2 linked regions of the Sus scrofa genome follow. The protein of the gene in region 1 binds, or shares a complex with, the protein of each later gene. Links are inferred from orthologs where the notes say so. Each region holds a gene or a part of one and is shown on either strand. Other genes may lie near its edges.

Region 1 (4,123 bases):
ATAAGAACAGAAAACTTGAAAGGGCTCAGGTGTACCCAGACAGGAGAGCAGGTAAATGACAGTATATTCAGAAAGTAATACTACACAGCAATGAAAAGAAACAAACCACTCATACATGCAAGAAGATGAACGACTCACCAAAACATTCTTCCCCTGAAGCAAGCCTTTTACAAAAAAGTATACATAACAAATGATGATTTCATTTATATGAAGCTCTAGAACAGATTAATCCATTTTGTGGAGAAGAGTCAGAACAGTGGTTGCCTCTGGAAGGTGGCGTGCCCAGGGATTGACTGGCAAGGAACATTAGCCAAATTTCAGGGGGTTTACAGACACATAACAGCAGTTACACATGTATATCTATTTGTTGGACTCAGTGAATGTGCACTCCAGAGTTGTGCATTCATGTTTGTAAGTTTTACATCAAAAGAAAAATGTAAGCAAGTATTGAACTCTAGTTAATGGTATGGATGCTGAACTATATAAGGGCAAGTGTCCTTATGTCTGAAATTTCTTTGAAATGCATCAAAACTTAAGATGAATTGAGGAAGTTATAGACTGTGATAAAGCAAGCATAGTAACATGTTAATTGTGGAATCTGGGTGATGAGTAAACAGGTGTTAAGCCTTTCAACTTTGTTGTATGTTTGAAATTTTTCATAATAAAAGGGTGAATTATTTCAGAGTTTTGTGCAAAAGTTCTGCACCAGAAGAGCTGGCTAGGCCCAGCAAATAGAGACAAGAAATTAAGGGAGGCAGGAGCCTGGCCGTACGACCTCGCAAAAGTAATCATTTTCATCAGTTTCTTTATTCTTTTCTTTCTTTCTTTCTTTTTTTTTTTGTCTTTTTAGGGCCGCACCAACGGCATATGGAGGTTCCCAGGCTAGGGGTACAATGGGAGCTGTAGCCACTGGCCTACAGCCACAGCAAGGCGGGATGCGAGCCGCGTCTGCGACCTACACCACAACTCACGGCAAGGTCAGTTCCTTAACCCACTGAGCGAGGCCAGGGATCGAACCCAGTCTGTTTCTTCAACTATAGCGGAGGGACAATGGCTGCAGCGACGCTCGATATTATTAAGCACTTTCTCGCGGGGAAGGGGGTCCTCAGTCCAGGCCCGAGCCACCTCACGTGCCCACCACCCATCGTGCCGGCTCAGCATCCTTTTACCCGCACCAGTCCTGAAGGGGCTCATCTAGGCCGTTTGCTCTGGTAGCCGGACCCCCGCTTTCAGGATGGCACCGGAAGTCACTTCTCCTACGCTCTTCCTATTGGAGGCCGGCCATCCAAGGGGGCGGGACTACTGGGAGGCGGAAGCAGCCGCAGGCATGGCGGCGGCGGTGCCGCTTTTTCTGTCGGTGCTGCTGCTCCTGGGGCCTGGCAGCTGGAGCCAGGCAGAATCCCCACGCGATAGCCTGCGGGAGGAGCTTGTCATCACCCCGCTGCCTTCTGGGGACGTAGCCGCCACATTCCAGTTCCGCACGCGCTGGGATTTGGATCTGCAGCGGGAAGAAGGTGAGGAGGCTGATGGGAGAAAGGTACTGTGACACCTGCTGGGAGTGGGGCGGAGGCTAGCCTAGGGGCGGGGACTGATTCCTGGATGAGATTCTGGCCCCTGGTCGTGGGGCCGGACAAACAGGGTCCTCGCGGAAGGATAGAATAGTTGTTGAACAATCCCATCGTACCGATGAAGAAATTGAGGCCTGGAGAGGGGGAGTGACTCCTCCTGAGTTCTAGTCCAGTGCTCTTTCCGCAGCTCCAGGCTGCCACTCTAAACCTTTAGTTAGAACCCTCTGTTGCAACACTGATGATGGTACAATTTGAGGTGACCATTTATCCTGGGTGCTCGGCGCAGTGCTAAGTTCTGTGAACGGTTATGAAAAAGAGATTGGAGGCATAGAGAGGTAAAGGCACCTTTCCAAGATGACATTGCTAGTAGGTGACTGAATCTGGTCTGGAGTTTAGATTCCTCTGAACCCAGAGCTGGGGTGTATTGTTTCTCTGGAGTGTCTGAGAACCCTCCCTCCAGGATCATCATCACTCACCTGCTCCCTTTTCTCCAGTGTCTCATTATAGGCTCTTCCCCAAAGCCCTGGGGCAGTTGATCTCCAAGTATTCTCTGCGGGAGCTGCACCTGTCATTAACCCAAGGCTTCTGGAGGACTCGATATTGGGGGACACCCTTCATTCAGGCCCCGTCAGGTGCAGAGCTCTGGGTCTGGTTCCAAGACACTGTCACTGAGTGAGTGCTCACCTTGAGGCCTGCGGCAGGCCTTGGTGGGAATGTGGCTGGGCAGGTGTTGTCATCCTACCACTGCCCTTGGCAGCAATTCCATGGGGGTAAATCTGGCGTTGGATGCAAGAAATATTCTGACTTGGGGGCATTCTTGCCTAGGCTGAATATACCTTTTTCCCCAGTACTTCCAGACCCAAGGTAGCATGTGCATATATCTATAGAGGCAATAGAAAGCTCTGGCAGATTCGGTACCCCCCCCCTCTTTTTTTGATCCTTTTTTTAGGGCCGCATCATGGCATATGGAAGTTCTCAGGCTAGGGGTCAAATCGGAGCTGCAGCTGCCCGCCGATGCCAGAGCCACAGCAATGCCAGATCTGAGTTGCATCTGTGACCTACACTGCAGCTCATGGCAACACTGGATCTTTAACCCACTGAGCGAGGCCAGGAATAGAACCTGCATCCTCATGGATACTAGTTATGTTCCTTACGGCTGAGCCACAATGGGAACTTCCTCCATGGATAACCAAAAGACATTCATTCACATAATAATAATAATAATAATAATAATAATAATAATAGGAGTTCCCGTCGTGGCGCAGCAGAAACGAATCCGACTAGGAACCATGAGGTTGGGGGTTCGATCGCTGGCTTCACTCAGTGGGTTAAGGATCCAGCATTGCCATGAGTTGTGGTGTAGGTCGCAGACGTGGCTCGAATCTGGCGTTGCTATGGCTCTGGCATAGGCCAACAGCAACAGCTCCAATTAGACCCCTAGCGTGGGAACCTCCATATGCCGTGGGTTTGGCCCTAAAAAGACAAAAGACCAAAAAAAAAATAATAATAATAATAATAAAATGTCGTGAGGACTAAACAAAATATGTGTGAACTAGAACTGGCCCACAAGATGCCAGATTTCTGTATTAGAAAAATTGCTTTTGTTTGGGCGAGGGGTGGGGTTAGGTACTGCAATTGGACCACATTTCCTCTTAACCCCCCTGTGGGAAATCAGTAGCTCATACGTGATTTTTTTTTTTTTTTTTTTAATTTAGGATAGCAGGGAGTTCCCATCGTGGTGCAGAGGAAATGAATCCAACTAGGAATTATGAGGTTGTGGGTTAGATCCCTGGCCTTGGTTAGTGGGTTAAGGATCCAGCGTTACCGTGAGCTGTGGTGTAGATCTCAGACGTGGTTCAGATCCCGCGTTACCGAGGCTGTGGTGTAGGCCGGCAGCTGTATCTCTGATTGGACCCCTTAGCCTGGGAACTACCATATGCCTCAGGTGCAGCCCTAAAAAACAAAAAAAAAATTAGGATAGTAATAGAGAGGTGGGGCCTGCAGCAGGCTGGCGAGCTCTGGAGGACAGCTGCCACTCAGCCCCTATGGATGTGGCTATGTGGGAATAGAAGCCTGCTGTCATCTGATACTCTCATTTTTTGAGCAATATCAGAAATCTGGATTTTAATGTGAAACTTGCCAAATTTAAATATCAGCGAGTAATTTAAAAATTTAAGAAATGTCACGTGGGTTAATGTTGTGCATATCAAATGAAACATGACTATGGTTTGAGTAGAGCTTTTGAACTTGCAGTTTGCCATCTTTATTTGAGGCCTAAAGATTGGAGCAATTGGGAAGCTCTGAACAGAGTATTATTGAAAGACCCCAGGACAGCTCCAAGGTGATGGTCAAATGAGGAGCAAGCCCCTGAACTTGCGAAGCCTTTCTCTCTTGCCTGAACTCTGGCTTCCTTGCCTTCTCTCCCAACCGTTCCGCTGTCACATCTCCCTTCATAATTGCCTATAATATGGAGCTGATGTTCAGAATTCTAATCTGATTCTATTATTACTATAAAGAGCAACTCTGTTTTGGTCTTTCTGACACCGAATTTCATT
Region 2 (3,647 bases), about 9.8 Mb from region 1:
GTCATTTGCTGTAGAGTATTTGGGTGTGTACACATTTGTCTCCACATCTTAGATTTACACCCATTGAGTCACCCTGACCTTTGCCCTGCCAGACAAGAATGCCATTACTCTGAGGAAAAGCTGCGTGAGCTAGGCATCCAGATTACTGGGCAGAAGTAGGGCATGTGCATGTTGTTTAGATGGTACTAAGGAAGGTGTAAGCCTTCCTGTTGGCTTCCCTTCAGCCCTTGGTCAGCTCTCAGAGGAGGAGCACCAGAAATTGGGTTCTGTCTCACCCTCTCTGATCAGAGCTGTGGTCGTTCTGGCACTCAGGAGAGCAGCATTGGTGGTGCTGAGCAGTTCTGGAGACAAATAACTCCACCACTTACGAACCTGCTTACCTTCTCTGAACCTGAGTTCCTCATCTGCAAAATGCAGTGACGGCATTGCCTACCTCGAGGTGCAGTTGCAGTGTAGTCAGGATCACATGCATTGATGCAAGAAAAGGACCTCGCATAAGACTTAGAGTGAGGGTTTAGGAAATGGCAGCCAGTCTTACTAGATTAAGGACGCAAGAACTCCATTTCCAGCCCTTAAGAGCGAAAAGCTGCATGCAGCTCTCAGTTCTCTTTCAGGAAAGGAGCTCATCATAGCTAAAGGTCTCTGGACCCCACTGACCATGTTGTCAGAGAGAAAAGCCTCAGCAAGGAGGCACTTCCTGCCCTGGGTCCAATGTCAGAGGGGCCTCTGGCAAGGGCGGCTGCCTCTTTACGCTGACAAGCAGTCATTTAAGCCCAGTAATAAAGGACGCTGACTTCATTTGTTTTCTTCCTCCACAGCTCCTGGGGGAAGGCTCAGAGCGGTGGGGGAGGGGTTGATGGGAAGTGTCTCTGTGGACTGTTTCTCAGTGTTTGCTGGGCTCTCCTCCCCACCTCTGGGCATCTTCCGGTCCCCGCAGTTTTCTGCTTCTGCTACTTGGCCTGGCCCTGTGTCTTGTGGGTAGCAGAGCCAGCCCTCTGTGAAGACCCCAGAGAGTACTTTTGGATTTGAATCGAGGGGTGGGGTCAGGAGTCTCTGGGGTGGCCTGGTCCCTGACTGACCTTCCTCTCTCTGTCTGCCCTGCCCCGCCTTCCCCAGGGAACACCCTGTCTTCTTCATGTTCATCCAGATTGCCATCATCTCCATCTTCAAGTCCTACCCGACCGTGGGGGATGTGGCCCTCTACATGGCCTTCTTCCCCGTGTGGAACCACCTCTACAGATGTGAGTACTCCTACCTCTGACCCCATGCTGGCAGATTGGTGTCCCCCGGCCAGGGAAAAAGGAATGAATAGGCACTTGCTGTGCTAGCAGCACTGATCGGCCGGGACACCATGTACAATATCTGCCTCCTTGGTGCTGTGGACTAGTGATGATAATAAAAATAACTACGTTTATTGAGCACTTACAGTATACCTGGCCACTGTGGTTCTAAGAGTGTTACACACGTTGGCTCATTTTATCTTCACACCAGACTCTGAAGAAAGTATCCCCATTTTGCAGATGAGGAAACTGAGGTACAGAAAAGTAGAGCCACTTGTTCCTTGACTGGTAGGTAGAAGGGCTGGCGTCAGATTCCAAACCTGTGAGCCTCCAGCCAGTGCTGTCCATTTGGGCTTTCTGTGGATAGTCCCATAGAATAGCCACCAGTATGCTAAGAAACTGAATTTTTAACTTCAATTTAAGAAGGCACACACAGCTAGTAGCTGTTGTGTTGGACAGTGCGGCACTAGGCCTTGGCTTTGAACCATTTCCCAGTGGTGTGTCGAAAGATCCACAGAAGACAGACAGGCAACATTAGACTTCCTGCCTGCTGTGAAGACCCCTTAAGCTCTAACCATCCCTTCCTCAAAAGGTGGCCTAGTGGTGATCTAGTTATGCTTTCTAGTGTTTCCTAGTGTCTCCCTCAGTCTGGCTCTTCACCCCCTATGTGAGTTCTTTTCAGTGTTTGTGGGCTCCCCAAGGGTAGGCTCATGGCTCCCTCACCTCTGTGTCTCCAGCACCCAAGATCAAACCTGACACACAGAACAACTCAGCACATGTTTGTGCTTGGCTCTTTGAAACCTCTCTAGTAAAGAGGCAGTGCCAGTGGCCCAGTACCACTCGATTCTCTAAACCGGGAAGGGAACTGTTGAACTTTCCTTGCCTAAGGTGGGTGCACAGCAAGGTGTCAAGAATGAACCCAGGCAGGGCAGACTTCAGAGGAAGCAAGTCTTTGTTATTGTTTTGGGACTGCTGGGTGTCAACCAGGAAGTGAAACTGATCAGCTGTTAGAAAGAACTCTACCTGTAGGAGTGGGCCTCTGAGTGAAGATAAACAGGCGAGTGGGCAGGCCAAGCCCTGCTGCTCCTGCAGGTGATGCCTGGTAGGGTGGTGGCCAGGCAGCTTGACTGGAAGCAGGAAGTGGCATCTTCTGCCTGCGACACCCTCATTACACAGTCAAGAATCATCCAGTCCAGCAGCCTCAGAGTCCGCCTGGCGCCCCTTGGCAGAGTGGCCAATGGCAAGTCACAGGGCATAGGAACCTACCCCAGTTTGTGACAGGGTGGGTCTTGGGGATGTTGATCCCCTTTCCCCTCCAAATGGAGTCGTTTTTGGCTGCATCTCCCTCGGGGAATATCTTTCATCTCCTATTGCTGAACATGGTCTGGAGCCAGATTGCCTTGAGTCTGAGTCCTGGCTTTCCCATTATAGCAAGTTATTTAACCTTTCTGAGCCTCCCGTTTTTTTCATCTGTCATATGGGGAGAATATCTTTCATGGGCGTTTCAAGTTTGAGAAAGAAGAAAATGTAAATAGCACTGCAGTTATTAATAGTAGTGATAATTATGCAGGGGTTGCAGGGCGGAGGGGTCTCCTGCATAGTTTTATGATCAAAGCCAGCCTTAGGCTTGGTACCCACAGTCATTCAGAGTCACTGAAATAAACATATTTTTCAAAACTTGAAATAAGCTATTTTATGCCCTCTGGGGTGGTGAGGCACAAAAAAATAAGGATGGCGTTTCTGAAACCCTGGATGATCTAATAGATGCTGTTGCTGGCTGGCTGGGCAAGTTTAGTTCATCTGAAGGTTCCTGCAGAGAGCCTGGGCTGCCACCTCTCGAGGCGCAGCTCCTGTGGCAGAAGGTACTCGTGCTCACGATGTCTGTTTGGGGCATGGCAGCTGTGAGTCATTACATTCAGCCTGGACCTGTGGAGATTCTGCAGAGTCTGTGTGCCTAGGTTGAATATATTCAGCCTTCTAATGTGGTTAAGAATTCAGTTTAAACATTAGTTCCAGTGCCAACATGCCTGCTCGCACATTCACTGTTTTGTTTTTCTGTCCGGCTCAGTGGGGAGAAGAGGCACGTGGGCCCCTCCCTGAGTGCAGGTCCCAGACGCTGGGACTCTGTGGGGCTTGGGGCCAGGATGAATCATACGAACGCGCAATTGCGGTGTTAGGGAACAGCCTGCTGGCAGAGCCCGTGCCAGCCTGCAGTGGTCCAGCTCAAAGAGCCAATTACCAAAGGGCTGGATTGTGTGTCTGTGTGTGTGTGTGCTTTATTTTGTTTTTATTAACTGTTTTATAGTGATAAAAGAATACTGATTTTAAAATACACATTAATTATAAAAAATAACACAACAAAGTCCT

The links.
Region 2: the proteins of PIGT (region 1) and PIGU are in contact, whole or in part, in a cryo-EM structure (PDB 8IMX), measured with the Homo sapiens proteins. The link is inferred for Sus scrofa from reciprocal best matches to the Homo sapiens genes PIGT and PIGU. Residues at the interface, in NP_057021.2 of Homo sapiens: Tyr361, Gly362, Leu363, Gln364, Lys365, Arg394, Leu395, Tyr396, Val397, His398, Tyr416, Pro418, Ala419, Gln420, Asp421, Arg422, Gln445, Glu447, Leu450, Leu451, Lys452, Trp453, Thr454, Pro518, Thr519, Pro520, Asp521, Phe522, Ser523, Met524; in NP_536724.1 of Homo sapiens: Glu30, Lys42, Arg43, Val45, Glu46, Ser49, Leu50, Leu53, Val55, Ser59, Gly60, Ala61, Val62, Pro265, Asp266, Leu267, Pro269, Leu273, Trp275, Tyr276, Phe277, Phe278, Ala279, Glu280, Met281, Phe282, Glu283, Phe289, Phe293, Asn296.

The regions. Positions count from the first base shown.
Region 1 is NC_010459.5:47,734,053-47,738,175, forward strand, and holds the start of PIGT (GPI transamidase component PIG-T), read left to right. Parts: upstream 1-1,286; 5' UTR 1,287-1,327; coding exon 1,328-1,514; intron 1,515-2,062; coding exon 2,063-2,240; intron 2,241-3,500; exon of another isoform or gene 3,501-3,778; coding exon of another isoform or gene 3,779-3,909; intron 3,910-4,123. UniProt on the Homo sapiens protein: Component of the glycosylphosphatidylinositol-anchor (GPI-anchor) transamidase (GPI-T) complex that catalyzes the formation of the linkage between a proprotein and a GPI-anchor and participates in GPI anchored protein biosynthesis.
Region 2 is NC_010459.5:37,983,447-37,987,093, reverse strand, and holds part of PIGU (phosphatidylinositol glycan anchor biosynthesis class U protein precursor), read left to right. Parts: intron 1-1,116; coding exon 1,117-1,241; intron 1,242-3,647. UniProt on the Homo sapiens protein: Component of the glycosylphosphatidylinositol-anchor (GPI-anchor) transamidase (GPI-T) complex that catalyzes the formation of the linkage between a proprotein and a GPI-anchor and participates in GPI anchored protein biosynthesis.